Linked DNA regions of Nothobranchius furzeri. The protein of the gene in region 4 purifies or fractionates together with the protein of the main gene of each other region. This does not show direct contact. Links are inferred from orthologs where the notes say so. Each region holds a gene or a part of one and is shown on either strand. Other genes may lie near its edges.

Region 1 (7,578 bases), on a different chromosome or scaffold from region 4:
GAACCTTTCTAGATAGTCTCTGATTTATGAAGCGGAGATTGCGTGCAGCTGTGTGTACTCCATGTTTGATAGATCACAAACCTGCTTGGCTTAAGTACATTTTTTTGTTGAGCTTAAGTACGGTTTTAGTACGGATTTACCAATGTTTGATAAATGAGACCCCTGGTCATTTTAAGTCATTACTTTGTGATAAACAAGTTAGTCGTGTTACCAGACTTGTATTTCATCAATTTTCTGCTAATTTTGCAAACAACCATTGTTTATTTCTGTAAAACTTGTAAAAACTAAAATATTGCCATGCTAGTGATCTACGTAACCTTTATTTGGGACAACCTCCACCTCCCATGTTTAAGTCACGTGCTGAGAGGGGAAGGCCTGTTGACGGAGCCCGTCTGGGTCTGTTTTTGATCATCCGGCCCTTTTCTGACTCATTACTTGAGGCATCTTAAAGTTTTCAGTGAAACCTTTTTTTACTGTGCCAAAACCTGAGGGTGTAGAGCAATACATACTTTTATATTTATGTATGGTTAACTCTACTTGTACTTTAATGCATTTACAGTAGTCGCCAGTAGGAATGAATTTAAGTGTCGTACTCTGGGGAAAAAATTGGTGCGGCTGTCTGGGGTCAGAAAAGTCGGCAGGAGAAGAAACATGGCAGGTTTTGGAGTCTTATCTCCTGATATTAGGACATCTCGCCTCTGATTGGCTAACAGCAAAGCGACTCTACCACTGACTCTGCTCTGCAATGTTGATGTTTAATCTCCAAAAGTAACACAATCCTAAAAGGAGTTTTGCTGTGTGGTGGAGTTGCTAATGCTAATTGTTAGCTTCCTTTTCCTTGACGCTAAACCAACAACAGCCTTCCCCGTCGTGAGTGAGGATGGGCGAGTCCATGAATGTTAAGTGACAGCGTGACGTAGATCTGTCAGGCTTTTCTAATCCTAGAGTTTCACCGTTTGTTTTCTATCAGAAGCTAAAGCAGGAGACAGGTGTAGGAGACTATCTTCATGTTCAGCCTGCATGAAAAGCTCAGCAGACACCACAAACCAACCTTAGCAAACTTGAAAAAGGGTCTAGGGTCCCGTCTGAAGTACTCGATATCAAACATAGACTGAGGATCTGGGAGGTCGGGAAAATCTACAGCAAGTCGTGCATAAATCCCATCTCTTGAGCGGAAATCTGGTATTCCACATGAAACTGAAACCTACAAGCAAAAAGAGAAGATTAAGATCGCATTACTCTAATACAGTCCTAGACGAGTAGAACTGTAAATGCCTACCCCAGCGCCAGTCAGCACAAGGATCTTTTTGCTTTCCTGAAGCAGCCTGACCACATCTTCCAAAGTGTTTATATCCTTCCGCTTCTTTCTCTTCGGAGGCTCTGAGATGTTGATGATGATCTGCCACAGTGTCATGTCATCTAAATCTGGAGGGAGTATAGTCTCAGGAAGCAAATCCCTTAGAATGGCTCGCGGATCGGTCTCTCTAATGTGTTGTTGGATGAAACTGTAAGAGCCTGGCCAGAAAACAAAACAACAGTCAGAAACTTCATTTTCAAACAAATCCACAAGAATTTTATCTGTCTTTAAGGCACTTTTCTTTAGGAAATGCCAGACAAATCGTCCCAGTTACCTATTTGGGGTTGAGGAGTCCAGTCGCTGGAGCTTGCATGTGAAGATCTGTCGTCTTCATCGTTGAGGTTTTCCGGTGAGGCAGCAAGGCCGTTGGAGGGCAGATCGTCATGTCCTAGAAAATCAAATAAAAAGAAAGAAGTTAGAAACTAACCTGGGCCTTCCGGTGGACGCTTAACTCATTCACTGCCAGCCGTTTCCAGATCGGTAAAGCCCTTCACTGCCAGCGTTTCTCACCGTTTTTACTGTTTTTTTAAAGAGTGACAGAACGTTGCGCGCTAGGATGATGTCGACGCCAAAACAACCAAAACAAAGCGGAGACTCAGCTCTTACATCAGGAAGAATCCGCGTGTTTCGAGCGTTATCCGTTCTTTCATAATCCGTTGTTGAATTGTGATCGGCAGAAGCTTTTTCCGTTCGCGCCTCATTTTTTTTACAGCAGCGGCCCAAAACGATCTCCTAACACATGGATGTTCTGCTTCCTGATCACGTGACGTGTGACGTATGCGGATGAAGATCGGCTTTAGAGCCGAGATGTTTGTTCTCATGGTGCGGGGGCCGCTCGTATCCACGATCTTGTTCTTTCGGTCACTACCCAAAGCTCGTGGCCATAGGTGAGGGTAGGAAAGTAGATGATCGGTAAATCGAGAGCTCTGCCTTCCAGCTCAGCTCTCTCTTCACCACGACAGATCAGTACACATCAATCTTGTCCTCCATCTTTCCCTCACCCATGAACAAGACCCTGAGATACTCAAACTCCTCTACTTGGGGCAGGACCTCATCCCTGACCCGGAGGAGGCATTCACCTTTTCACTCCCGTTTCATGCCTGAAATGCTCCCAGTTGGAAGGGAGTTCACAAGTAAAACTCCTCTATCACGTCGCATGCCGCTTACACATCCAGTGGAAAGGCTGGGTTAGAAAAACATACCCAATTCAATTCAGTTTATTTATACATCACCAAATCACAACAAGAATTGTTCTCAAGGCACTTCACCAAGTAAACATTCCAACCGAGTTCAGTTAATCATGCCAATAATTTCAAAGTTTCCAGTATAAGGGAATCCAGCGGATTGCATCGAGTCAGACTAGCGTCAGCGACTTTACAGCAAACCACTCCTACGACACATCTGAGATGCTCCACTCCACATCCAGTGGAAAAAAAACCATTGCTTATAGGTGTTTATTATCTGTGTCTTCTTACACGCTGCTTATGCATAAGGTGGAAACCAGGCACAAGACAAATTATAACAAAATGCTCAATGCAGTTAAGTGTGAGGCTGCTGTGAACAGAATGTAATGACAACAACTTTTAGTTCACATGTAATTTTCCAATTAATTACGTATAATTTTTAAATAATATATTTCAAATGAATAAAAAGTAAGCATCCACTTAAGAGTAAAATGAGTTATTGCTGTGGTACAAAGATAGCCTAGAAATCTGGCAGTAGCTCCGGGGGTAGAGCGGGTTGTCATGTAATCCTAAGGTTGCAAGTTCGAACCTGGCAGACTGCTGTTGTGTCTTTGAGCAAGACACTTAACCCACCTTGCCTGCTGATGCTTGGAGGGACTGATGACATCTGTATTCAGAGGCCTCACCTCTGTCAGTGCACCCCAGGGCAGCTGTGGCTAAATTGTAGCTTATCATCAAGGGTGTGTGAGTGGATGAATGATACACTGTAGTGTAAGGCGCTTTGGAGTCCGCCGACTCTGAAAGGCGCTATAAAAGTGCGGGTCATTTATCATTAATCATAATAGGTTTGGCATTTCATTAAGAACTAAAGTAACGCCCGTTATAATATTATTATATGCTGATGATACCGTGTATCGCAAATAATCGCGATCCAGCGCAATAAGACGGTGCACACGTTTCTGTCGTTACACCGGCTAAATGACGCTACGTTGGCTTCAAAGTTTCTTACAGTTTAAGTGATGTGGACTTTAAAACCTATGGACGCGTTTATGGTTAGAGGAAATTGCATTACACCGAAAACACACAAACCGATAGGTTTATTCCGTTTCGCTGTCACTTAAGCATCAAGTTTGCCGGTGAGCTGTAAACCAAACAGCCGCAACGTTTGTAAGCTAGTAGAGGTAAGCGTTATTCATACCTGCGACTTCTTCGGTTGAGCAAAGTACAGCACTGTCGACCAGTTTCCCAGCCGGTCTCTGTGGCTCGGAGACCGGAATTCCCCGTTCATTGTTGTCTCCGTCCCGCGCCGCTGTTGGGGCCTGCTCTACCTCCATCACCGGCTTTGCTTCCTTCTCGGAAGGCTGCGAACGTTTTATCGCCGCTTCCCGACTCTCTGTGGCTGCAAAGACGCGCGAAAGCTGGTCCGGTTCAGTGGGTTTAAGCCCATGATTAGTCGGCGTATCCATTTTTGATATTTTCGTCGCAGGTTCATCCGTTATGAAGGCGCCAGAAAAGGCCGTTCCGAGACTATTCTCTTCATCCGCCATCTTCAACCCCAGAGCCGCTGCGCAAAGCCTTCCTCTCGGACAGCTGGCTCATTTACATAGCACACGTGACTCTTTCTCGACCAATGAGGAAGAGCAAATACCTAAGACTACAACAAATTACTGCTGCCTTCAGGTGTCGTTGGGTTTCTTTGCAGTAACGCGCATAACAAAAAATAAAAGCCTAAAACGTTTGGGAAAAATGCTCAATAACTCGTATTTTTATGACTATATAATCTAACTTGCATAAATATTTTTGGTACTTACAGCACAAGACGTCAGCATGGAAATGACAGTATTAGAATAATGGCAAAGAGAAGATTCCCCTTTTTTGTAGCATTTTGCAACATAAAATATTGGTTTGGGTGAAAATAATTTTGCCCCTATTTCACTTCACAATTTATTTTTTTCCACAGTTTTTTAAGCTAGATTTCAGTAGTATTTTATGCCTCTGTAGCTGTAGTCACTGCGCTGAGATGAATTGTTACCACAACACTTTAATGCAGCATGCGTCACATGTTGAGGGAAAAGATAGCTACGTTTTACTGACTCGTATCTTCATAGATTAGAAATTTGTCAGAGTCACTTTATTTAGAACAATTTATTTGAAAAACAGTACAGGGTGAGGAAAAACAGTAAAAGCAAAACAAACTGTCCGGGCACCGAAAACCATAGAAAGTGAACAGCTGTGATAACTGCATCACACAGCTCCGATCGAAATAAACAAACGTTCTCTGATCTGATCGGATCCGATGGAGACGCTTTTGAGTTGTAAACCAGAGGACTTGGAGGATTATTACGGGTTATTAGGATGTGACGAACTGTCATCGGTAAGTTGTGGTCAGTTGACTCTCGCTATTTGCAAAACATCTATTTAGAGAGAAGATCATGCATTATAAACAAATATTGGACACGCATTGACAATAATAAACACGGATGATGTTCATTAAGTGAATCAGAACTTATTATTTGTTCATTGAACCAACCTGTTGATTCGCCACACAGTGGGTGGGGTGGTGAAAAATGTGTCTATTAATTTAGATAATTAAAAAAAAATAACTAAATCCCAACGGCTACTTAAGTGACCCAAGCAAAGACAATATAACTACTTTTTTAATGCATAAACTATCAAAAAAAGTGTACAGCATAGAGATGAAAAGAAATGTTAAAACTGTTGTCAGTGGTCACCATAGAGACCACTAATTTAACACACATTAAAGGGGCAGTTCAAATCTCCTGAAATGGGGTTCTGTGAAAAGGTGATCGATTAATTAATAATTTTGGATTGCTTTTTGAAATGTTTAAATTTTGAGAAAAAATGAATAGATTAGCTCATGTGAACAAAAGAGTTAGCTAGCCGTGGTGTGACCATTAAGAAAAGATCTTAAAACAATTCCAATCTGAAAACAATTTCTCAGAGAATGAGCCATATTAGTCACAGAGTGTTTGGTAAATAACTATGACATGTAAAATATCAGTTGCTCATACCCGGTCAGCATGCGACAACACGCCATCCTATAGATGTGAATATATACCGGCAGTTTGGCCAAAACCCATAGAGAGAGCTCAGCCATGAGGCAGAATCCACCGTTGTCTTTAAAACTGTCTCCGCATTGAACAACGTAATGTACTCACCACTACGAATGTCAGTTCAATTCAATTCAATTCAAAAATACTTTATTAATCCCAGAGGGAAATTGATTGCTGTAGTAGCTCAGGATAATAATAATAATAATAATCAAGTCGTCAAAGAGTTGTTGTATATTACAATGGCTGTTGGCAGGAAGGTGAGTGTTGCAGCCAAACTGAAGAAACCTCTGACTGAAGACACTCTTCCGTTGTCGGACAGTCTTGTGGAGAGAATGCTCAGGGTTGTCCATAATTTTCTTGATTCTCTGGAGAATCCTTCTTTGCATTATCTCCTCCAGTGGTTCCACAGTCGTCCCCAGAACAGAACCAGCCTTTGTTATTAGGCTGTTGAGCCTTTTCAGGTCCCTGCTTCTGAAGCTGCTACCCCAACAGACGACGGCTGAAGAGATTACAGTCTCAACAACAGACTTGTAGAAGATCTGCAGCATCTTGCTACAGACATTGAAGGACCTAAGCGTCCTCAAGAAGAGCAGTCTGCTGTGTCCCTTCTTGTAAACGGCTTCACTGTTCTTTCTCCAGTCCAGTCTGTTGTCCAGGTGAACTCCAAGGTATTTGTATTCCTCAACCACCTCCACTTCTTCTCCCATGATGGAAACAGTGTTTGACTCCACCCTGTTTCCTCTGAAGTCTAAAATCATCTCCTTTGTTTTGTTCACGTTCAAGGTCAGATGATTGTTTCCACACCATGCCACAAAGCGCTCCACCAGCTCTCTGTACTCAGCTTCCTGTCCATCTCTGATACACCCGACAACTGCAGAGTCATCGGAGTATTTCTGTAGATGACAGGTCTCTGATTTGTACTGGAAGTCTGAGGTGTACAGGGTGAAAAGGAATGGTGAGAGTACAGTCCCCTGTGGTGCTCCAATGTTACTGATCGCCTGGTTTGATGTGCAGTTCTTCAGCCTCACAAACTGTGGTCTGTTTGTCAGGTAGTCTTTAATCCAGGCGATAGTTGAGGCCCCCACCTGTGTCTTCTGGAGTTTCTGGCAAAGTACATCAGGCTGGATTGTGTTAAATGCACTGGAGAAATCAAAGAACATGACCCTCACAGTGCTGCCTGCTTTGTCCAGATGACAGTGGGTTGGTTGAAGCAGCTGGATGATGGCATCTTCAACTCCAACTCCATGGCGATAAGCAAACTGCAGCAGGTCCTGATATGTTCTAGTTTGCTTATTCAGGTGGACCAACAGGAGTCTCTCCAGGACCTTCATGATGTGGGATGTCAGGGCAACCGGTCTGTAGTCATCATTGACTGATGGGCGAGTTTTCTTTGGAACTGGAACAAGGCAGGTTGAAGAGGTGCTGCAGAATCCCACAGAGCTGCTCTGCACAAGCCTTCAGTACTCTGGGGCTGACACCATCCGGACCTGCAGCCTTGTTCCTGTTCAGTCTCTCCAGCTGCCTCTTCACCTGACTTCTAGAGACAGATAGGTGTGAGGGGGAGGTAACTGGGGCAGCAGCATCTCCTGACTTGGTTGATGAGGCAGTCCACCGTACACCGTCGAAGAAGACGCAAACACATCATTTTTCTAAATAAAGGACTTAAGTACCTCTGTCTGCTTTCAACTCAAACAAAAGCCAAAGTCTAAATAAACCAAAATTGATGACAAAGCCATTTCAAACAAGCTGCTGCCATCTTTGTTGTTTCGCCTAGCTGAAGTAACATCCCGCCCACCGAACCGATAGAGCACTGTGATTGGCCAGACACAACACTGCTCGGGCCTGCTGAGGCTACAATGGGGCGTGGCTTGTCTAGCTTTCTAGGCTAGATTTGTGTATGAATTTTAACAAATCATTAAAAGAGATAATCTGACCCTGTTCTGTGATAATACAGGCCATTTGT
Region 2 (7,533 bases), on a different chromosome or scaffold from region 4:
GTATATATATATATATAATGTATATGTATATATGTATATATGTATATGTATATATATGTATATATGTATATATGTATATATATATATACATATATATATATATGTGTGTGTGTGTGTGTGTGTGTGTGTATATATGTGTGTGTGTGTGTATTGATGCTGTGTGTTTTCTGATAGAGGTCTGCCCAACTTTAAGGGCGGTGTGGGTCTGAAGCTTGGTTTATGCTTGACGCATTCACTTTCCGCGCGGTGATGCGGCTCGCGGATGGAACGCGCTTCACAACTCGCAGCTTTTATGGTTCGTGCGGCTCGTCTCTGCGGTGAGCCAATATTCTCCCAAACTGAACGGGGCAGCATGGAGCTCTACGGCAAACATCCAACACTACACCATAGTAGAAGTAGAAATTACTGTTTACAACACGGCATTTCAGCATTTTTAACAGCATTCTCGTCTTTTCCGACATTGCGAGCTATTTCTCTCCAAGAATTATTAACAACATGTTGATCACGGTGATCTCTGAGAGCTGAATCATACAAATGTCTGTATTTATGAACCTCTGCCATACTAGTTCTTGCTGGTCCGCCATGTTTTTCCGCGTCCGTCCGTCCACGTGGTTAGAAATTTTCCGAGGTGCGCGTTGCGGAAATTCTGGGCCGTCCGGAGGCGCGGTGGAGGGGCGTGGTTGTTAAAATGACGAAAAATGACGCAACTTTTCCGCGCGGAGCCGTGCGGACCTCGCGGACACGTCAAGCATAAACCAACCTTTAGAATCAGACATGATCCAGCTCCCCAGTAACGGACCTCTCAGACTCGGCCTTTAGAGCGACTCAATTCTTGTTAAAAACATCTGTCTGGGTCCAAAACAATGTAATTGTTACGTTTTAACAGCAGATCTGATGATACAGATTCAGATAGTTCACTTATAATTGTCTGCATTTCATTTGAATTGTCAGGGGTTCTAAGTTGTGTGGGCCGTGCCTGTTTGCTTTACTCCTATCAGATGGTGCCCGGAGGGGGCGGAGTTCCCACAATGCAGCGCATCCCACTGCCAGGGGCCGAAATGCTGGAGGAGGAGCCTCTGTACGTCAACGCCAAACAATACCATCGTATTCTGAAGCGACGGCAGGCCCGGGCCAAGCTGGAGGCTGAGGGCAAGATCCCTAAAGAGAGAAGGGTACGTTGTCTCCAGTATTAGGTACTTCAGGAAAGGTTTACCGTTTATTCATGGTCATTTATTTATTTCTTACAGAAATACCTACATGAGTCTCGCCATCGTCACGCTATGCAGCGTAAGCGAGGAGACGGAGGACGGTTCTTCTCCCCTAAAGACAAGGAAGAAATGGAGTTGGCTTTGGCACAAGTAAGAGTCTACACCTTAAGGCTTTAAATGACAGATTTGAGTTTTCACTGACATATGTGGGTAATTTGATCTCAATTTATGTGTTTTTCCTTCGTATGACGCAGCAGCAGGACGTAGGCCAGACGGCGCCGGATGAGACGGTGGCCCAGATGATCAGAGTCTCGTAGCACTGTCACCAACATCAGTACTTCTGTCTGAATTTTTCCTCGGACTCTTCATCCCAGCTAAGCATCGAACGCGTTTGTAATCCGTTCTGACTCACTACGCCCAACCGAGCACTCAGTGGCGCGCTTTTTGTTTTTCCCTAAACGTCTTTGCTGCTTTTCCAGAGAGTCGCTGCTGAGCCAGTGAGGATGCATTCATGCTAACGTTGTCTGGTTTCGTTTACAGGACCAGCAGCGTTTTGTTTTCTTTGGACTTTGTCGAAACATGAGAAATGAGGCCATACTCTGTCAAACCCTGTAAAAAAAATAAGACTTTTCTCCAGTTGATGCATTTAGTTTTAAATCATTTTGTAAATGGTACCAGTTTTTTTAAGCATTTATTTTCACAACACAGCTGTTTTGTATTGTTAAGAATTCCTTTTAATTTGAAATGTAATTATTTAAACCTTTCTACTATTTGGAGTGTATCCTCCATCGTCTGAGGACAAAAGAGGAGTTGTGTTAGTACTTTGAAAATATTGTACAGAGAAATATTTGTTCCCTCGTGTGTGTTGACATCCTTACCAGTTCTGTTGGTGCATTTCATACAATTTATAGTTAAACTTGGTGTTTTGGCTGAAGCAAGGAATAGTTGAGTATTGCATCACATTAACACACTATCAGTGTACAGTAGATCTTTTTTCTTTTAGTCCACATAGGTGGTTTTTATTTTATTGGAGGTAATAATTTTCTTTTTTTTATGCATCAAGTGCAGTCAATACTATTTTTTACAATGTTAAGTGGTTGAACATCACTTTCATAAAATGTGTCAATAAAAATTTTGTAAAATAATTCAAGGTTATTTGTGTTTATTGAGATTAGTAGCAGTCATCAATTACATATTTCTAGTTCTTTTTAAATTAATGGCACATTTCTAATTTCCAGACTTGATGCAGGAACAATATAAGTGGGGCCGTAGATTCTCAGTGAAGTAAAGCTAAATAAATCTGACATCAAAGTAAAAAGTCATTGGGCTCTATGTGCTTTATGAGAGTCATTTTAATAGTTTTTATCCAAGCTTAAAGCTTCTTTATGGATTAATTTGATTTATTTGGATAATCTTTTCTCTTGTTGCATGTTCTTGTGCTTATAGGTGATCACCTTTGGACCAGACCTCCAATATTTCCTTCATGCATGTAGATTAAACATTCTGAAATCCCATTCTATGAGGTCACATTACAGGATTTATTAAAATCAAGTTACTTTAAACTTTGATATTAAAATGTAAAAATTCTTTTTTCCATCCCATTCTAAAGGAAATGGAATGAAAATCTCAAATATATTATTAATGCTATCCTTAAACTGGACCTTCTGGTACAGGACCATGAAAACAAACGCAGCCAATCAGAGGCTGAGGTGGTAGAAATTGGCTATGTGGCTAACCAATCAAATCAAAGTGAGGCGGGGCTTGATCCCAGTTTCCTTGGCAGATTTTACCATGGCAACGGAAAATTATCTACGCGTGCGCTAACTCGTGCATCAATCCTGCAAATTACAAGTAAATATTCTCACTACAAGTAACGAGTAACGCTGGTGTTTTTTTCTAATCCAACAGCCGGCTCTGACTGGATGACTCAGCCCGGATACCGCCTACTTCCTCAGGTGACGGCTCTAGCTACCCGCCCCCTGTCCGTGGCTGACATCCGAACCACAGGAGCGAAACAAGCTGCTCTTTTCCAGAGAACTAGAGGAACTTTGACGCGGGTTTTTGCACTTTTGCATTACTTCTTTAATTTTAAGCCACTGAGTGTAACTAGAGAGCAGGAAGGCGACGTGACGTTCGTTTAAACTCCATCAAGAGCCGGCTCTTTCTGTTATCTTTTACTATCATTTGCTCCTTTTCCTCCTCCATCCAGCATCCGTGTCACTCCGATGCAATGACAGACTCGGCTGTGGACAGCAAGGCGGAGGTTAAACAAGCCACCAAATACGTCAAAGAGACGGAGAACGTGGCGGAGAAATATTCCGCGTTGACTGTCAGCAAGAACAGCAGCGATGTGAACATGAACGTCGGGGAGATGCCCTCCGCAGCATTCACCGCAGTCCCGACTCTGAAATCCGTGAAGAAGGTAAGGAACGTGATGCCCGCCGCCATCACCGGCTGTCATTGGACAGAGATCAGACCGTCACATGTGAGGAGGATAAACGATAAACTCACGTTGGTGCAGAACTGTACCGCAGTCAGCTGCTGACAGGACAGTCGGCTGCAGAGTCAGATCATACACTTCTCACTTCTGTTTGTACGGATGGTGAAAGCTCACGATCTCATATTTATCAAAGCTATGCAAAGCAAATGTAAAGCAATTACAACAAACGTGAGTATTAAGGCGTTATTTATGTTGCCTTACTTTATTGTATGGCAACACAATGTTATCAAAAAGTATCTATGCCTCAGAAAGTGGAGACATTGCTTCAGGGAGAGGAGATCTGTGTAAAGAATGAAGACGTTACTGTGATAATTTACTCAAATCAACCATAAATTTCAATTAGACATTTATTCAACATGCAGGAATGTCCCATTTTTAGTTAATGAAACCAATTGAATGAGTTCAGATCATCGGTTCAGATGTGCAAAATAAGGAAGTGATTGCTGCACACCATACACCTGTGGGAAAAGACCTTGTGTTCCTGTCCTGGTTAACAATGGCTTAAACAGAAAGACCCTTCTCCTTAGGTGGCTGTTCATATTACAGGTCCACCACTGTGTGCAGCAGCTGGGAACAGGCCATGAGTAAACATGAGCTGAAGCACGGGTGATAGGGTAGAGGACATCTTTTGTTTCCCAGAGTCTGAAAAATGCGCCATCTTTTAAAAAAGTAGGTTTTCTTTTATTCTGATCTCAGCAGTGGCTTAAACCTAACGCCACTAATCAGCCCCTGATGCTCATTTCATCTTGTCCATCAAGTCATCATGACCTGAAACTAGATTTATGCCTATAAATACTGATATGGATGCTGATGTTTGCCATTCTCAAAACATAAAAAAAAAAACAAATAAAGAAAATTTAAACAGATATGTCAGTAATAATATATTCATATTTGTTATAACTGTATAAAATATTCATATTTGTTATAATTGTTGCATGTATTACAGCTATTTTTAAGTGACGCAAAGCAATCAAATCATTGTGGATCGAATGAGCGTTCATCATTTAAACTCTATTAATTAATTATTTAGAGTGAAGCTTAACGCTTCATTCTTCTAACCCTGCTTTTAGTGTCAATAATGCACATTTTTTTTGCATTTTCTTCTGCCCCCTTTTTTTTTAGAAGTTGCATGTTTTACTGCTTAATGCAACCTTCCTAAAACTCAGGGAAAAATTAGTCTCTGTGACTCAAAAATGACTAAGTAATAGATTACAAACCCCTGCAGATATCGTATGCCTTTCATGATTGTGGAACAACTGTCTGCATGTGTCAGTGTCACATGACAGTGCATGGAAAAGAACACTCACTCTGCAGATGGACACTACTTGACAATATGTAATAAAAAAACCAGACTGTGTCCTCTTGCACATTTACACTAACAGAATCAAAATGATTACTTTTCCAAAAGAAAGTTTGTTTTCTTTATATTTTTCCTGAAAAAGTGGACAAACATGTCTGATTAATAAAAACACTTATTTTCTCAGCAGCGGGGCTTCAGAATATTGGGTCAGACCTCCTGCCTGACAGGCAATAGCGTGCGGACCGCGATCCGCCTGAGGGAGCCTAGAAAACATATTGGATGACAGGAATGTGCACTGAGCCTATAAAAACAAACCAGCATATGAATGAATGTGAGGGCCTATTGATGAGAAATCCCTGTTGGTTTTGAAAAAAAAAAACGTATGCAAAAAGTGGATGAGAAAGTGTTGGAGTATGATGGTGATGGCGTTTTCTGCTGCATCCCCAAGTGTGTTTTGGCTTCTAGCTTGGTTAAAGAAAGCTTAAAGATGTGGAACACTGAAAAAAAAAACATTTTTTAAGTGATTAAAATCAATCACTCAAGAGTTTTTCATGCAGGCTGAACATGAGAATAGTCTAATACACCTATCATTAGCTTCTGATAGAAAATAGATGGTGAAACTAGGATTAGAAAATCCTGACAGATCTACGTCACACTGTCACTGAACGTCCATGGACTCACCCATCTTGACTCCCGACGGGGGGAGGGCTGTTGCTGGTTTAGCATTCAGGAAACACCAGAGAACATCTTGACTAGTAGAAGCTAACCATTAGCATGAGCAACTTCACCACACAGCAGAACTCCTCCAGGCTTGTGTTATTTGTGGAGATCAAATGTAAACATTGCAAAACAGAGTCAGTAGTAGAGCCGCGTTGCAGTTATCCAAACCAGGGCGAGATGTCCAAATATCAGGAAAAAAGAAACCTGCCGTTTGAAGCTCAGCTGTGATGTGTACGACTAAAGACCAAAAGCCTCTTTTATATTGTACTTTTTGAGTTATTAAAGCAGTTTTACTAATTTAGGTGCTGTTTCTGATGAATGCAACACACTCATCTGAGTGGTTTCCCTCTCCTACAGGACTTATCCATTTGAACCCATCAGGATTCATCCAGGTGTTCTCATTTATCGGCTGTCGATGGGCTAAAAGCACATGTAGTTTATTTATTTATTTAATTTTATTTGCATTGTGTAATCTCACTGATCCATAGCATTCCGTTCTGTTTGCTTCTGAAATCTTGTGGTGCTTTATGTTGGTAATCAGTGGAAGTTACACTTTCAGCTAAAGGTCACACAGTCTCCGAGGGTAGACGGATTAGTGCTCTGTGTGTTTTTTCACAACACTGTAATCGGTTGTGCATGTGTTGATTAAATAGGTGCTTTTGCACTGATTTTGGAGTTTCGGCTTCACTTACATTTCTGTTTGTGCTCTGTTTGTGCATCAGGTTGTGTGTTTGTTGGGTGCAGCCGTTGTGCGTAAGCAATGAAGATGTTTGTGGATTACAGCTAGATGGTGCATTAGACCTGTAGTGGTGTCTGGTTAAGTAGTGTTGCCTTATGTCAGGACCACACTGAGCCCTTACGCCACTGAGCGACAGTCACACTCCACAGCTTATGTCTGTGACCTGGCCCGCTATCTGAGAGAGAACGGGTATTTTTAGCTGTAGGAACAAGAGGGGTGCCGATTAATGCAGCAGAAGGCTAATGAAGACAGGGCGTGATTCCACCTGCCAGTGGCCTTGCATTCAGTCATTTAAATGATGAATAAATAGGTTTTGTAACATGTGACTTGTTATAATGTTCTTGGACTTTATTATAAGTTAAAACCTAAAGAGTGTAGCTGCTGGTTGTCAAGAGCAGAGCCAGAGAAAGCGTCTTCCTTCCGTTTCAGTCCATTAGAAATCATGATGCTAGGTGGGACCCTCCCCTCGCTCTGCCTGGGAGTGTTCTGGGATAATAGCATCAGGGACACCTGGTACCATCCCACAGAGGACACCGAGGCTCAGAGAGGTAGAGTGGAGACCTGGGGAGAGAGAGAGAGAGAGAGAGAGAGAGAGAGAGAGAGAGAGAGAGAGAGAGAGAGAGAGAGAGAGAGAGGTAACGGGTGACTATGGCACATAAACATGGACACAGTAGAGAACGGGTGAGTTACTACTAAAGCATCAGTGAATTTAACTTCTACATGTTGATTATCTCTTGTGAATTATCTTTTTTTTTTTTTTTGCTGTGAGCAGAAATGTTTTCTCTCTGTTACTAAAACTTGCCGTTAAAGTGAAACTCGAGGCCTCATATCTAACGATTCTGCTGAATTCAGTGCAAAATGATGCAAAATGAAACTCTGCGTTCTGTTTTAGGAGACAGGTCACACTCGGGGTTGTGAAAACAGAGACGTGCAGAGAAACGCTCAGTTCACTCTGCCTCCCAAGCTTCTTGGGTTTCTTCTTACTTGCTCACAGTAGATTATTGAAGCCCAGGTATCGCTGCCTATGGAAATTAGGATTGGGAGGTTTCTATGGTGATTTAATCAA
Region 3 (6,987 bases), on a different chromosome or scaffold from region 4:
TTTAGGGGTCAAAAGATGCCGGTGCTGGTGGATCACTGGTTACCCGAGTAGAATCACAAGTGTTTTCTCACACTCTTAACGCCGAGCGGAAGCAGAGCCGGTGCTGATCCAGAAACTATATTTGTGTCATCCTCCAGCTCTACATCTGTAGCTACGGCTGCACCGTCAGGCTGCTTCCTAATCTGGTCTATGAATGTGGTCCAGATGAACAGAAGGTTCTGCTGCATCCTGGTTCCGCCCAAACAACCTAACTGTGGCCAACTACTTTGTTGGTTTGATGAGTCTGAAGAAACAAGTGTGTTGTCATGGCAACACTTCTAAAGCAAACCAAAACAGATCTTTGGTGATTGGACAAAAAAACATCTACGTCATCAGGTGTGTGCATGCGTGTGCGTGTGTGTGTGTGTGTGTGTGCGAATGTGCGTGCGCGCGTGCGTGTGTGTGTGTGAATGTGCGTGCGTGCGTGTGTGTGTGCGTGTGTGCGTGCGTGCGTGTGCATGCGTGCACATGTGTGTGTGTGCATGCGTGCGTGCATGCGTGCGTGCGTGCGTGTGCATGTGTGTGCGTGTGTGTGCGTGCGTGCGGGTGTGTGAATGTGTGTGTGTGTGTGTGTGTGAGCGTGCGTGTGTGTGCGTGCGTGTGTGTGTGCGTGCGTGCGTGTGAGTGTGCGTGCGTGTGTGTGTGCGTGCGTGCGTGCGTGCGTGTGTGAATGTGCATGCGTGTGTGTGCGTGTGAATGTGTGTGTGTGTGCGTGTGTGTGCGAATGTGTGTGTGTGCGTGTGTGAATGTGCGTGCGTGCGTGTGCGTGAGTGAATGTGCGTGCGTGCGTGTGCGTGTGAATGTGTGTGTGTGTGCGTGTGTGTGTGAATGTGTGTGTGTGTGCGTGTGTGTGCGAATGTGTGTGTGTGTGCGTGAGTGAATGTGCGTGCGTGCGTGTGCGTGAGTGAATGTGCGTGCGTGCGTGTGCGTGAGTGAATGTGCGTGCGTGCGTGCGTGTCAGTACGGATCAGATAAAACCCACCATGCGGTCCTCGAAGGTCTTGACCATGATGCCGTCGGGCAGCGACGTTGCCAGCAGAGCCATCTCCTTCCTCACTGTGCTGAAAAACTTCTTGGCCTCTGCCGGCTGAAACTCCATTTTCTTAAAGGAGTGAGTGTCTGTTGGTGAGGAAACGGATGAAAGTGAACTTTACACAGCTGAGCTCTTGTTGATCTGTAGATTAACGGTTTCACACCCGTGTGAGGAACCCGTGACCTCACCTGGAGCCCACTCCAGCACCGAGAACACCTCCCCTTTGGCGCTGGTGAAGGTCACTCCAGGTTTCCCTCCACTCTGTTGGCACAGCACCGGCGTTTCGCTCAGGAACTCACTGGGCCACTCCTGGTTCCCCACCGGCGTCTGTGGCTCCTGCTGGGGTTTCTCCTCCGTGCTCCTCTCTGCCTGAGGAGACGCGGCGGGTCAAACCTCCTCTACTGACGAGGCGGATCATCACAGCAGCGGGACACCTACCTCTGTTCCTGCTCCGCCGCTCCCAGCAGACTCCACAACAGCTTCCATCTTCTCTTCCTCCACAATGGCCACGTTGTCCAGAGTCTTCCTCAGGTTCTCCTGCAGTTTCTTGAGGTCGTCCAGGAAGCGCTTCTCCTTGGTGGGTTTTTCAGAGGCAGGAGGCATCACCGAACTCGCTACGTTGGCCGTGGACACCGGTTCCGCTGAGGTCGGGGAGGTTGGCGAGCCACCGGTCCACAACTGCTCCACCGTCATGTTCTTCAGACTCTCCAGGATCCTGAGGGCCTCCCTCAGCTCCCTGAACCCTCGAGAGGAACCGTCCTTGTTGGGCTTCTCCGCTCCGTTTACCGACGCCGCTGGAGTTGTTCCTGCACCGGACGACAGACCACACAACAGTCCGTAAAACTGCCGTTAGCATCAAGATCTGAAACCTGTTTGATCGCGTCCTGTTGACCTCACGTTTGTCAAAATATAATTCAGAGTTTAGGAGATTTTCCAGAAGCTTCCACTGGTGAAGAATTAAACTCACAACTCCCTCCCTCTCGCGCTCGTGACCAATTCCAGCGGTCGGCGGGTGAGAGGAGAGGGACACCATGGACAGGTCTCCGGTCCATCACAGGGACACACGGAGACGGAAGACTGCCCACACATTTTCCAGCTAACCCCAGAGTATCCGGAGAAATCCCACACGTGCACGGGGAAAACGTGCTACCTCTACGCAGAACAGCTGGAGCTGGGACTTGAACCAGCAACCTTTACACTGCAAGGCAACAGTACTACCAACCGCCCCTCCGTGAAGCCCCGGTTTCATTTCCTGCCTTGAAATTCACACCTCTTTAACGCTCCTCTTGTACGCCGCTGCTGTGTTCGTCTTCTGAGTCCATTTGCGGTTCGTTTTCAAACACAGACGAGGTTTTTCTTTACCTTGCTGATGGTTTCGTTTGCAGCAGCGAGGTAAAGAGAAACCTCATCCGTGTTTTAAAAAAAGGACCAAAAATGGACTCTTTAAAGCTTTACACACCTGTTTTATCTTAAGCTCGTGTATTAATACTCGTGAGGTAAAAGTTACTTCACCACTAAACACGATTCTGCCACCTGCTGGAGCAGACCGGTGCCTGCTGGCTCTCTAAAATGAAAACTCCAGATAAAATGGATAATCCAGCTGTGAAGCTGTCCAGATGTGTACCCCGGGACTAACCCCCAAATTCCACTACCTCCGCTCCGCTCCGACACGACCGCCGGAGCAAAATCGGTCCCGTTGTAGTCAATCAAAGCAATTCCACTACTGCGGAGGTGTTCCGGTGTCCGGCAAAAATAGAATCGATCCTATTTTCGCCGGACGCCGGAGCACCTCCGCAGTAAATGGACAGAAATCACAACCGCCCAACAGGAAAAGGAGCAAGCACAACCTCCGTTTTTCACAATAAATCGATAAACAAAAGGCGTTTTTTGTTTCATATGCACAAGTTTAACAACTTTTAACAACTATCAATGGCGGCTGAAGTTTAAATGCACAAAAGTAAGCCATAAATACAGTTTCTACTATCAAAGTAGTCACACTTTGTTGATCCAAACACTGCTGATGTCTCAACACAAATGATGGGCAGATTAAACAGTTCATGTCGATGCTTCTCCCACACAACGGGTGTTTGGATCTAACTTCCGCGTTTATTGCTCGGACTGTATCGCAAGATCTCGAAAATCCCGCGCATGCTTGTTTGCCCCCCTCAGGTCTCCGCACCGGAGCGGAGCCGTTGTAGAGCGGGTAGCAGTAAAAATTGAGTTCGGAAGCGAGCGGCTGCGGAAGGCGGGGGCGGGGCAGAGGTAGTGGAATTTGGGGGTAAGATTCATCTGATGTAATCGGATTACATCAGTCTGGTTTATTCTACAGTCGTTTCTGTTAAAGGTCACGCTGGCCGGACAATAACTAGATATGAATCTGTGCTGCGCAGCTGCCCCTCAGACTGAGGCCTGAGACGACCCTGAACCACGAGACAAGACAGCAGGAAGCTCCCCACCTCCTCCTGAAGCAGGACTGGCCACCGCTGCTTCTCCCTCCGCTGCAGGAGCTCCGTTGGTGGGACTGGTGGCCGGCTTGCTGCCCTCCTGAGGGGGGAGGATGAAGGCGGTAGAGCCGGTGGGCGTGGGGGTGGGCGTGGCCGTGTCTGTGGCGTCTGCGTTGTTGACGTGGCCGTCGTCCTCAGTGGTCAAGCCGTTGTCCGTCTCCCAGCTGTCGCTCTCGTCCTCCCACTCCTCGGTGGACAGGACGCTGCTCGTCTCGTCCACCGAGTCGTAGTCCGTCTCCTCGATCTCGGACTCCACGTTGTAGAGGTGCTGTGGGATGGTCAGAGTCGCTGAAGCGCTCGCTCATGATGCAAACGGCTCTAGTTTTTACAAGCACTCACCTGCGGCAGGACGATGGTCTTGGAGTTGTCGGCCCAGACCACCTCCACTTTGCTGCTCACGTCCACTCTGGACACCTGTCCCACTGACGTCTGAGGAACACACACACACAAACACACACCCCAGCAGCGTGGTTAGAGCCTGGTTGCTCCATCACGTCACATGACTTGTCCTCCCTTGATTCGATTAGAAACGGGGTCTAACCACACACAACGCCGTCTCACGTTTGTGACTCAAAGTAAACTCAAGCAGGTTCCAGCGACCGCCATGACTCAGCAGAAATTTCTTGAACATTTCTCCACTTCCACATGGGATTACAGCCACGTGACTCGCACGAGGAAACTGAGAACCCTCGGGAACGACTCGAGATATTCTGGAAGCTCATTCGTGGTGACATTTGAATCAGGCGTGTCATGATCCAGATTCAAATATAAGGTGCTGCTGCTGCTGACCCGGGGTCAGTCTGAATGTAAACTGCTGAGACGGTCTCACCCAAACCTCGTCTTTCAAATCAACCGGAGATCTAAATGAAGTATCTGCGTCGATTCCTTTATCCTTCCTGCTGTCGTTTCAACATTTACAAAAACACAACAGGTGTTTCTGGGGATCTGGAGCCGACTCGGTGAGTCAGAGTGCTTTAAGCCGGGCGTACGCTGTGCGACTTTTTCACTTTTTTGAGCCGATTTTCCACTCGTGCGAGAATCCACGAGATCGGGGTGAGTTTTGTGCCGAGCGTCGTGTAGTGTACAGGGGGTTACGAGAGGCGATTAACACCACGTGACCAGCTACCGATCAGCAGTCGTGAGCTCGCACGGACTTCTGGCGTGTTTAATATTTCGCTCGTCCCTCGTGAGGGTATCGCACTGTTGAAGCGGCGCTGCGAGCAGCTGCGACCCTAAAGCCCCCTTCAGACAGGCCATGAAAAACGGAAATGTTCCGGACTCTGTCCGTAAGACCTTTGTGTCTGAATACAAACATCCGGATAACGTGTTCCGGAATTTATCCGGACGAAGCCCCTAGTAACAGGTCCGGACTTGTTACGGACAGGGTGGCTGCTTCAGACTGGTGAGGTAAAGTTCCGGACAAGGGGGAGGGGGAGGAGGAGGGGACCGGGGGACGCTGTGCGCACCTAGATAGCTCGCTGCTGTAGCATGCGGCGAACCACGGCAGCTCGCCTCCTACGGTACCGTGTAGACGCACGACGGAGCGCTTCACACCGCTTCAGTGATTCCTTTAACCATTGAGCTTCATCATCCAGGACTCTTATGCGTCTTCGTGTGCGCAGAATTATGCTTAAGCGCCTCGTGATTTTTATCTTGAGAGGCGCTATAGAAATGATATTTTCTTCTTCTTCTTAACATGGGTCTGACCCCCCCCCCCCAGGACTCGTGAGATCTGTCCTGAGAGGAAGTCGTACAGTTTGAGCTGAAGCTGAGTGCTACGAGTGAAAAAGTCGCACAGTGTCCGCCCGGCTTTATGAATCCGTCTGTCTCAGAAGAGCGACGCTCACCTCGTTCTCACAGTCGTTCTGTCCGTTCTCGGAGTTCCAGATTCGGATGACTATATCGGTGGTGCGGAAGTGGAAATCTGGATGGTCGGAGATGTCGTACACGCTGACATCCTCCTCCACGCCGATGACCTGCGTTAGACAAATATAAACAAACAGGAATGTCGGCACCCTGTGATGTTCACCCGTCTCCCTGTGACACCCGTCCCTGGCTGACCTCCACGCCGTCCCCGCTGGAGTTCAGGTTGATCCACTTAACCACGCACGTCCGACCCTTGTGATCTCCAGACTGGATCACACCGTACACTCCTGGGTCCTGCAGGCTTTGAGCTGTGGGGGGGGGGGGCACATACACACAGGTCAGAGAGCCAGTGACACGGGGTTGTTGAACGCTAGCGTTGTTTCCTCACGTCGTTTGTCCACTACGAAGTCCCCGGGGCAGAACTCGTGGCTGTCCAGGTGCTGAATGGGGATCAGGTCATTTGATCTGATGCCCTTCTCCACCCGCCCGTCCTTCCACATCACATCGGCTGTGGTTTTTGTGGATACCACTTCCACGGCCACCCTGAGACAGAAAACAAACCCTGATCAGGTTTCTACTCAGATCTGGTTAATAACAAAGGTGTCCAGCAGCGGGTTCGGGGGTTGCCGCTAGGGAAGCACCAATACCGATACCAGTATCGGTATCGGTAAAAGTTAACTGATACCAATGCAGTTGCTTGAAAATGGCTTCACTGTAACTTGTCATTTCTGTTCACCTAATATTTTATTTTTGGGATTATTTCTATTCATATGTTTTACTTTTTATCTACCTCACAGTCTTTTCCTGTTGAAAGAAGAGAAGAAAATAAAATCTGTATTCCAAATCATTGCATTTTTTGTGTGGTAGAAGTATCGGAATCTGTAATCTGTATCGGCAAGTATTCAGATCCAAGTATTGGTATCGTATCGGTTTGGAAAAAAGTGGTATCGTTGCATCCCTAGTTGCCGCCACAACAGGCAGCTGAGTAACCTAACAGGGTCCACTCGGACTCGATATTCCTCGCCCCCCCAGAAACGTTTTGGAAGTTCTGTCGAGGTGGGAATTGAAGCTCCTGACAGGAGACGGCCAGACGTTCCCAGCAGACCCTCAGAACATGTTTGGGCCTGCCAGGTCTGACCAGCATCCTGCCCAGTGGTCAGTTGGCAGCTCCGCCCCTCTCTTCACCCGAGCGTCCAAGATCAGATGAAACGACAGAGCCGATCATCGAGCTGCAGCCTGTGGTATCCTGGTGCCAAGAGCACATGTGGACAACATGGTGTTCATTATGGACAATCCATGGTGAGCACAGAGGTCCAGTGACAAAACCTTGCTCGTTCCTCCCAACCACACCTCTCCAGGTCTCACCGTCATTACCCACTCGAGTGTTCAAGTCCCCCAGCAGAACGAGGAAGCCAACGTAAGAAGCGCTCTCCAGCGCCTCCTCCATGGACTCCAGTAACGGTGGGTAGTCTGAGCTGTAGTTAGGTGGATGAGCACGGACCTCAGCCAGGACCCGACCCCACCACACGTAGACAGAGGGAGGCT
Region 4 (7,517 bases):
TCATGTATCTTTTTTTCTTCTGTACCCAACTCCTAAGGATTGTTCTCAGTGGGTTTATGTTCCAAGAAGTTTCTAGGACAAGGAACCAAAATGTAAATGCTTTCTGCAATGATTTTAGCCTTATGGCACTGTGTTTCACCCATCGTCATATATACTGGACAATTCATGTCCATAGGCTCCCAATAATAAGTTTTTAAGCCAAAATGGGAGGTGGCCACCACCTCCATTTTGACTGTGTCACAGGTTCCGTCAAGCCCAGACAATTCCAAAAATGGGAAGAGAGGTGGAGCTGAGGGTGGGGCTGTAAGGCTGGGATCAAATGACAACACCTGTCGAACTGAAACGATGTAGCTACAAGGTAACCCAAAGCTAACGCGGAGGTGGGAGCTAAGCTAACAGAGGTAGCAACCTAGCTACAACTGGAGTTAACTGTGCACAACACCAGAGCTTCTGAGTCAGAGATATGCCGGGCTGACCGCTGGGTAAAACCGGGTGGAACACAGAGGTCTCCTGAGAGCTCCACAAGCCGTCAGCCGCGCAGCAGACAAGTGTCGCTGCAATCAGAGATGCGCAGAGCTGCCGCTGGGGAGAACTGGGTGGAAAATATCTGTTTCCATCCGAGAGCTCCACAAGCTGGCAGCCCGCACATCAGACAGGCGCAGCGACGATCAGAGATGCGCTGAGCTACGGGGAGGGAAGAACCGAGTGGAACACAATGGTCTCCCGAGAGCTCCATAAGCCGGCAGCCGCGCAGCAGGCAGGCGCCGCAGTGTTCAGAGATGCGCCGAGTCGCGGGGAGTTGACCATACCGATAGTCGGAATCCAGCTCCACCAGCATGTTATATTTTCTAAAATGCAGCGTTATGTTAAATGCACTGGGTTTTACCCTATTACATTTAAATTTCATTGTTATACAGTACATGTTAATATCTAAGCTCAGCCAGTGCAACAGTGACAGGGACATAAAATACATTAATATAATTTTACTTACCAAAAAAATTAAGTGGAGACTCCTTGGATGCTCTATTAGTGCAATTAATACCACAGCAAATCATTTTGTCTAACAATTGCACAAATAATATCCAAAAAGAATGCACAAACGGCACAACTAATGATTGTTGAGGGACTGAAAATCGCGGAACAGTTTTCAGGCGAGGCCGAGGCTCAGGCTGAGGCCTTTCCATGGAGCTAGCTCTGCGGTCACGTGTGTCGGATGCTCATTAATTATTCAGAATTTTAGGCATTTAATACACTTAAACAGAAGAGTGACAAAAAATGCACCCCCCTCAGAGTTGTCATGAGTGTAAACTAGGTCTATTAAACCTAAAACATGTTTTGGAACCAGGCTGTAAATACATGTTTTTTTCTGCTGTGAAAATGGTATTTTTAACATGGGAGTCAATGAGGATTTGATCGCTTCCGACACCAGCCCCCAGCGGATGAGGGTGGAACTGCAATTTTTGACACTTCCGTGTTGGCTTCTAATTCATTCCAGTATCATGGGGAATTATTATTATTATGTTGGAAAAGGCATTGTTCATCATAACTAAACCACTTTTGGATAACTGGGAGGAGTTCCTCTTGGAGGATGTTTCAGTACCATTCTTATTTAATGACTGTATTCCAAACTGTGAATGAATCCATTCCCTTGGCTGAAAAGCAGCAACCACACATATGCTTTACTGTTGGCTTGACACAGGACTGACGAACTAAGAGAAAAATTCTGATTAACCAAAGAATATTACTTCACCCAGTTCCTGGACCTTTTGCAGGGTGTTGATCTTTCCCATGCTTTGTTATTGATGAAAATGGCTTTATTGCTGCTTTTCCAGACATCAGACCATCCTCCAAAAGTCTTCTCCTCACTCTGCCGTGGATGTAGTCACACTTGCCTCCCTGCACTCGTCCCCCCTCTCTACTGTCCACTCCTTGTTCCCTCCTCTCCATGATTGATGTCAAGTTGTTGTTGTTATTGTTAGCCTCAAGGGCAACATGCCGATTATCACTTGTAAGTCGCTTTGGACAAAAGCGTCTGCTAAATACATAAACATAAACATAAACTTGCCTACTGCCATTCTTGAACAAGCTCTACACTAGTGTTGCCCTGATTCCACAGCTGGATCATTATCAGAAGATGATGGTGCTTGCTAGACTTTTTGAAGCCTTCTTCATAAACACAGTGGACATGTTTTCCACTTAACATTCTGGAGTAAAGTGCCATCATAAAATCTGAGGCAGGACACTTGTTCGCAACTAACATTTGTTATATTTTAAAATGTGTGACCACCATTGTTAGGACTAAATTATATTAAACACTTGCCCATAGTCTCAACGATGCTCCAAATGCTCTGCTGCAGGATGTTGGTGTTTACCAGCAATGGTTGAGGTTTCTTTGTCCAAAACTGTTAGATTGCTGCACAAATATGATTGCACGTTTGTGTTTTTTTTTTTTTCATTTATTTATTTATTTATTTTTTGCTGCCAGAGAGAAGCTAAGGGATGTTGGGAGTGATCCAATGTAAGTTTGCAGGTCTTAGCTTAACTAAATCCGTCCAAGCTGGTGTTCCAGTCTGCTTTAGTGTAAGCTGTCATTCAGTTACATCATACAATAAATGACACATTGATGGAGCAAAGTCCCTGTTACTGATTCCAATAAAGAGGTCTGCGAGTCAGAGATGAAGACAAACCATGAGCAAGACCAGAAGTCCACAGCTAAACCCGTTGAGGTTTTGATGTGCAGATGTGTGGGAGTATGTAGGAAGGTGAAGCTGTTGCTAATGGGGAGACAGAACTATTGTCGCAATCCTCTCCCCCAGTCAAGCAGTCAGAATGATTAAGCCTTGTTTTATTTTGGGAATCATATCCGTAAAGTAAATTTGTAGTGAAAGGGGTTGTTTCTCTCATCCCAACCATGATTCCCTCCCTCTCTCCTTCTCATGAATGTCACCTCTACTGATGGAGGTTTTCACACACGCGCACACACACACACCTCCTCATTCAAGCGCTTGCTGACTTCGGATGGGAGGAGGAAGAGGTGGAGAGAAGTGAACGAGAGGGAGAGGAGGAGGTGGGAGGCATGGGGTGAATGAGGGGGGAGTGTTAGGACTGTGTGCCATCCGGAGGCAGAAGAGGAACCTCTTGTCTGTGTGTGTTCATGTCTCCGCTCTGTTGCCGACTGCTTTCCGACAAACACCGTCAGCATCCCGCCTGCTGCTCTACATCTGGAATTAAGTCAGCTGGATTACCGCTCGGACTCTGCGCTTGCTGCTCCACTCTGCCACGTTTAAATGGGAGGCAAAGTTGGATCTGTTTGGACAGCACGATGGGGGACAAACAATCAGATTTTTCCTGCTCTTTTAAGAGTTTCCTAGCGTTCAAGATTATCTCACTTTTTTTCGGTAAAACTGTTTTTATATGTAATTTAGTTTAATCCTCTTCTCTTTGCTATTGTGTATTGAAAGTAGGTTAATTAGTTTGGAATATTTAGAACTTGAGGCACATTTTGATGTGAAACAATGAGTGGGGAAGCAGGTTAGGGGCATGTCTCCTCTCCCTCTTTTTTTAAAAGTTTTTTGTTTTGTGATTTTAAACAGAAAATGTGACACTTGATCCACGTGTCTGCTACAAAGAGGTTTTTTTATTGTTTTTGGCCAGAGTTGAGACTTTACAGTGGACTACATCTGATATTACATCTCTCCCACATCTCCCCCTCTCAAAGGGAAGCATCTTCCCTGTTAACCCACTTAGTAGCCGGATTTCCCCTGGGGGGAGTTCTTTAAAACATCTGTCCTACTCCAGTTTTTTCTTAAGAGGAGCAGAAAACCAGCTAGGAAAGGGGGGTACAGAGAAGTAACATACCCCCCTCCCAAACGTGTGAGGGGGGGAGAAGATGGCAGCTCTCGCCAGCTCTCTCATCAGACAGAAACGGGCGGTCAAGGACGACCAAGCCAACCGACCAGTTGCCAACAAGCGCAGGCCCTGTCCCAAGAGCAACAAGTCCCTGTGCCAGAAACAGATTCTGGTTCTGATTTCTAAAGTTCGGCTGTGTGGGGGTCGGAAAGCTCGAAACGAGAAAAGACCGGGTGAGTCACTCCCGATGCTTTGGTGTTTTTAATAATTTGTGCTTAATAAATTAGATCTTTAGTTTTAGCGAAGTGCAAAATTTGAACCGATTGTAAAGTTCAACAGCTAAACTTGTTACTTAATTAATCAAAATGAGTTCATTACTTTATTCTCACGTCCAGTGTAGAATCCAAAAGTCCAAAATGGTTTCATTATAGTCAAAATGCTCCTACGTTGTTGTTCCCTTCCAAACAAACCGCAGTGGTAACACTTTATAATAAGGGTCCCTTTAATAACGTTAGTGCATTTTTAAGCATTAATAAACTATTAAAGTATTAACAACTGCCTAATAATAAACTTAATGTGCATAACTAAGCCCATTGTTAATAGTAAATGGCCTGTATTTCTAGAGCACCTTCTTAGGATGCTACAACCCCCCAAGGCGCTTCACAACACGATCAGTCATCCACACAGTCACACACTGGTGGGGAAGAGCTATGATGTAACCACAGCTGCTCTGGGGCGCACTGATGGAAGCAAGGCTGCTGAACACTGGTGCTACTGGTCCCTCCAACCACTACCACCAGGCAAGATGGGTTAAGTGTCTTGCCCAAGGACACAACGGTAGCATTCTCTGGTTGGAGCCAGAATCGAACCTGCAACCTTCTGATTACTGGAAAATCCACTCTACCTCCCGAGCTACTGCTGTCCTAACCTTAGGGACACTTAATAGTTAGCAACATCGGGAACGTTAATAAAGAGATCATTTGTTTATGATGCTTAATAATGAACTAAATAATGTTAATAAAATAATCATTTTTAATAAAATGTTACCACAGCAGCTGTTGATCTTCTGGTATTGGAAATGAGGAACTTTGTGTAAGTTGTTAATGATAAAATAATAATTTAATGTTTATAAATTTTCTACATTTTACAAATTTAAAAAAATCCAACAAATGTCCGAAATTGTAGCTGTTCTAATTAAATTTCATTTTAGAACTTAAATTTAAGATCATATGTTCAGAAACGATACAACATATTTAGGAGAAATCTTGGAAAACAACACCATGCACCATGTAGGGTGATTGTGCTAAATCTGCTCCTCGTGAAACGTTATTTCATTGTCTGTAAAGCTGACAGGCATTTTTGTTTTCCAAGGTCAGATGGCTGTGTTATCCATTCTGAGTCGGGTCGACTAGTAAAGACTTTCTGAGAATTTCATTAGAATCCACCAAGTTGTTTGTGAGACAGTTGAGATTGCTACCAACACTTAAGTGAAACACTTAAAACAGATACTGCACATTGTGTAGCACTCAGAGTCCACGTTGTCAGTCTGTTAGTTACTACGGCACAAATTATGGCTTAATATTAAAAAGGTGGTCGAGCCTGTTTTGTTTGTTAATGATGATCAGCCATGGCAGACATCTTGAATTGGGTAGAGTCCATTGTTAACCACTTGTAGATGTACATCTGATGAAGACTTTCAGAACAGTTCATTCAGTATTTCCTGTATGTAGCAAACATTCAGTCACCTCTTGGTAATAGTCAACAAGAGCTGAATATTACAGCTGATAGCATGCTTTTTGTTGTTTTTACAGAATATAATTTTTTCTTTCATTATTACATTGACTGATTGTTTTGTAGCACTACCAAACAGGTAATATGAGCGCTCTGCTAAAGGTAAACGATGCAGATGAGAGAAATGTTGCTGAACACACGATCTTCACAGAGAACCATGAGATGTGATACTGCTCTGTATTCACTTGGTTTGTGGTCTGTGGGTCTGGCTGTTTTAATCTAACTGCCTCTTTAGCTGTGTTTGTGGTGCAGTTTGAATGCACAGCAACAGGGATGTCTATCAGCCAATCAAATCTCATTCTCACCTAATGTAATAAAAATAATTCATTTTCCTGTTTATGTTACTATGTAATCTACAAGTAAATAGTTTAATGTATCATTTGTATTCTTAGACACATTTTTGTATGTTGTATCTGTTTCAGTCTAAACCCCTACAATCCCTGGCTTTCATAAAACTGACTGTTTACATAATAATACCAGATGTTTGGTTGCTGCTGCCCTGCCAAGGGGGGATTGATTGTGGACGCAAATCAAAATGCTCTAAGCTCATGCACAGTTACAATAATATCCCTATGATTCCATGAAATGGTAAATATTGTCCTAGCTTGTCCTGTCTGTTTGGGCATCTGTGTGTGTGTGTGTGTGTGTGTGTGTGTGTGTGTGTGTGTGTGTGTGTGTGTGTGTGTGTGTGTGTGTGTGTGTGTGTGTGTGTGTGTGTGTGTGTGTGTGTGTGTGTGTGTGTAAATTGCTCATGTGCTAACACTTATTTTATAGCTCGTTAGAGAAATTGAGGTGAGGTGGTGCTCACTCCTCACCCCTGCCACATGGACCCAAGGGATAAACCATCAACCCTGCTCAATGGTCAACTTTCCTCACGGGGTCACACCCATTAGGACAGTGGGTGGGTTTAAAAAAATCGTTTTTTTTTTCAGTCAACCACACCTTAAAATATCAGTTTCCCACATTATGGAACATAAGCACACATAGCTCCTTATTTGCACAAGTTAGGATTTTTATCAGAATCCTAAAAAGATCCTCTATCTCCCTTTCTCTTGTTCGACAATGAGAGAATTACTTTTGCCATCGTTGTCACTAAATAACTGATATATTATCCTTTACAGCAATTTCACAACAAGCCTTTAGTAGGAAGACAAGCCTTTTGATGAGGAGATCAGCGATAAAACCAAGCTGATTATACCTGCTCATCACCTCCTCCAGGAGTTAACTTGTTCCAAAAGATCCTTTGAAGTAGAGGCCCTTTCACTGTCAGCAAGCTGCACTGTTGCCCTCTTTTCAGATCAATTCAGCTCATTAATATATAGTGATTAATCAATAACCCACTTCTTACTTTGTTCAAGGTGGAATCTGATTTGAAAAGGGGGGAATATTGAACTGCCTGTCTCCGTGTATCACCTTCAGTATCTTTCTTTATGTTGACTCAAGTTAAACATACATGATGTGTGTGTGTGTGTGTGTGTGGGGGGGGGGGGGGGTGACATTAAAAACATACAAATAAGTCATTAATGCATGTGTTCCTTGTGCAGACAACCTTATGTGCAGTGTGTGCTGTTGGACATGGAGGTACAGTAGTATGTTATGGGTGTAAGCATCCGATGGGCCAGCCGGATGCTGGAGCATGAGCGTAGGCCCCGGCTGGCGGGCAGCAGACCAGGTTACAAGGATAGATCCAGGAGAGGATAGCATTAAGCTGACCCCAAAAGATCAGGGCAGCAAACTCGCTTACTCAACAACACCTGATCAGACAATGCAGTGTTATGTAGCTTCTTATCCGAACTTTACTGACTGTGACAGGGGTCAGAGAGAGGGAGGAAGGCAGGCAGAAAGGCACAAAGGCAGCTATCTGTGAAGGTAAACAG

What was found.
Region 1: the proteins of fgf11b (region 4) and sirt1 purify together in Homo sapiens (affinity purification with mass spectrometry; 3 studies listed by BioGRID and IntAct, with this or other methods). This does not show direct contact. The link is inferred for Nothobranchius furzeri from reciprocal best matches to the Homo sapiens genes FGF11 and SIRT1.
Region 2: the proteins of fgf11b (region 4) and ahcyl1 purify together in Homo sapiens (affinity purification with mass spectrometry; 3 studies listed by BioGRID and IntAct, with this or other methods). This does not show direct contact. The link is inferred for Nothobranchius furzeri from reciprocal best matches to the Homo sapiens genes FGF11 and AHCYL1.
Region 3: the proteins of fgf11b (region 4) and ube2o purify together in Homo sapiens (affinity purification with mass spectrometry; 3 studies listed by BioGRID and IntAct, with this or other methods). This does not show direct contact. The link is inferred for Nothobranchius furzeri from reciprocal best matches to the Homo sapiens genes FGF11 and UBE2O.

Annotation. Positions count from the first base shown.
Region 1 is NC_091752.1:5,650,852-5,658,429, forward strand, and holds the start of sirt1 (NAD-dependent protein deacetylase sirtuin-1), read right to left. Parts: upstream 4,096-7,578; 5' UTR 4,089-4,095; coding exon 3,740-4,088; intron 1,746-3,739; coding exon 1,632-1,745; intron 1,516-1,631; coding exon 1,280-1,515; intron 1,205-1,279; coding exon 1,052-1,204; intron 1-1,051. Other genes in the region: dnajc12 (dnaJ homolog subfamily C member 12), read left to right, coding at 4,838-4,915. UniProt on the Homo sapiens protein: NAD-dependent protein deacetylase that links transcriptional regulation directly to intracellular energetics and participates in the coordination of several separated cellular functions such as cell cycle, response to DNA damage, metabolism, apoptosis and autophagy.
Region 2 is NC_091755.1:28,367,093-28,374,625, reverse strand, and holds the start of ahcyl1 (S-adenosylhomocysteine hydrolase-like protein 1), read left to right. Parts: upstream 1-3,260; 5' UTR 3,261-3,438; coding exon 3,439-3,630; intron 3,631-7,038; exon of another isoform or gene 7,039-7,115; coding exon of another isoform or gene 7,116-7,148; intron 7,149-7,533. Other genes in the region: nfyal (nuclear transcription factor Y, alpha, like), read left to right, coding at 999-1,172, 1,248-1,358, 1,463-1,525. UniProt on the Homo sapiens protein: Multifaceted cellular regulator which coordinates several essential cellular functions including regulation of epithelial HCO3(-) and fluid secretion, mRNA processing and DNA replication.
Region 3 is NC_091747.1:74,397,326-74,404,312, forward strand, and holds part of ube2o ((E3-independent) E2 ubiquitin-conjugating enzyme), read right to left. Parts: intron 5,986-6,987; coding exon 5,831-5,985; intron 5,751-5,830; coding exon 5,638-5,750; intron 5,553-5,637; coding exon 5,424-5,552; intron 4,006-5,423; coding exon 3,916-4,005; intron 3,845-3,915; coding exon 3,529-3,844; intron 1,879-3,528; coding exon 1,511-1,878; intron 1,442-1,510; coding exon 1,261-1,441; intron 1,159-1,260; coding exon 1,022-1,158; intron 1-1,021. UniProt on the Homo sapiens protein: E2/E3 hybrid ubiquitin-protein ligase that displays both E2 and E3 ligase activities and mediates monoubiquitination of target proteins. Negatively regulates TRAF6-mediated NF-kappa-B activation independently of its E2 activity.
Region 4 is NC_091750.1:51,449,166-51,456,682, reverse strand, and holds the start of fgf11b (fibroblast growth factor 11), read left to right. Parts: upstream 1-3,081; 5' UTR 3,082-3,889; coding exon 3,890-4,082; intron 4,083-7,517.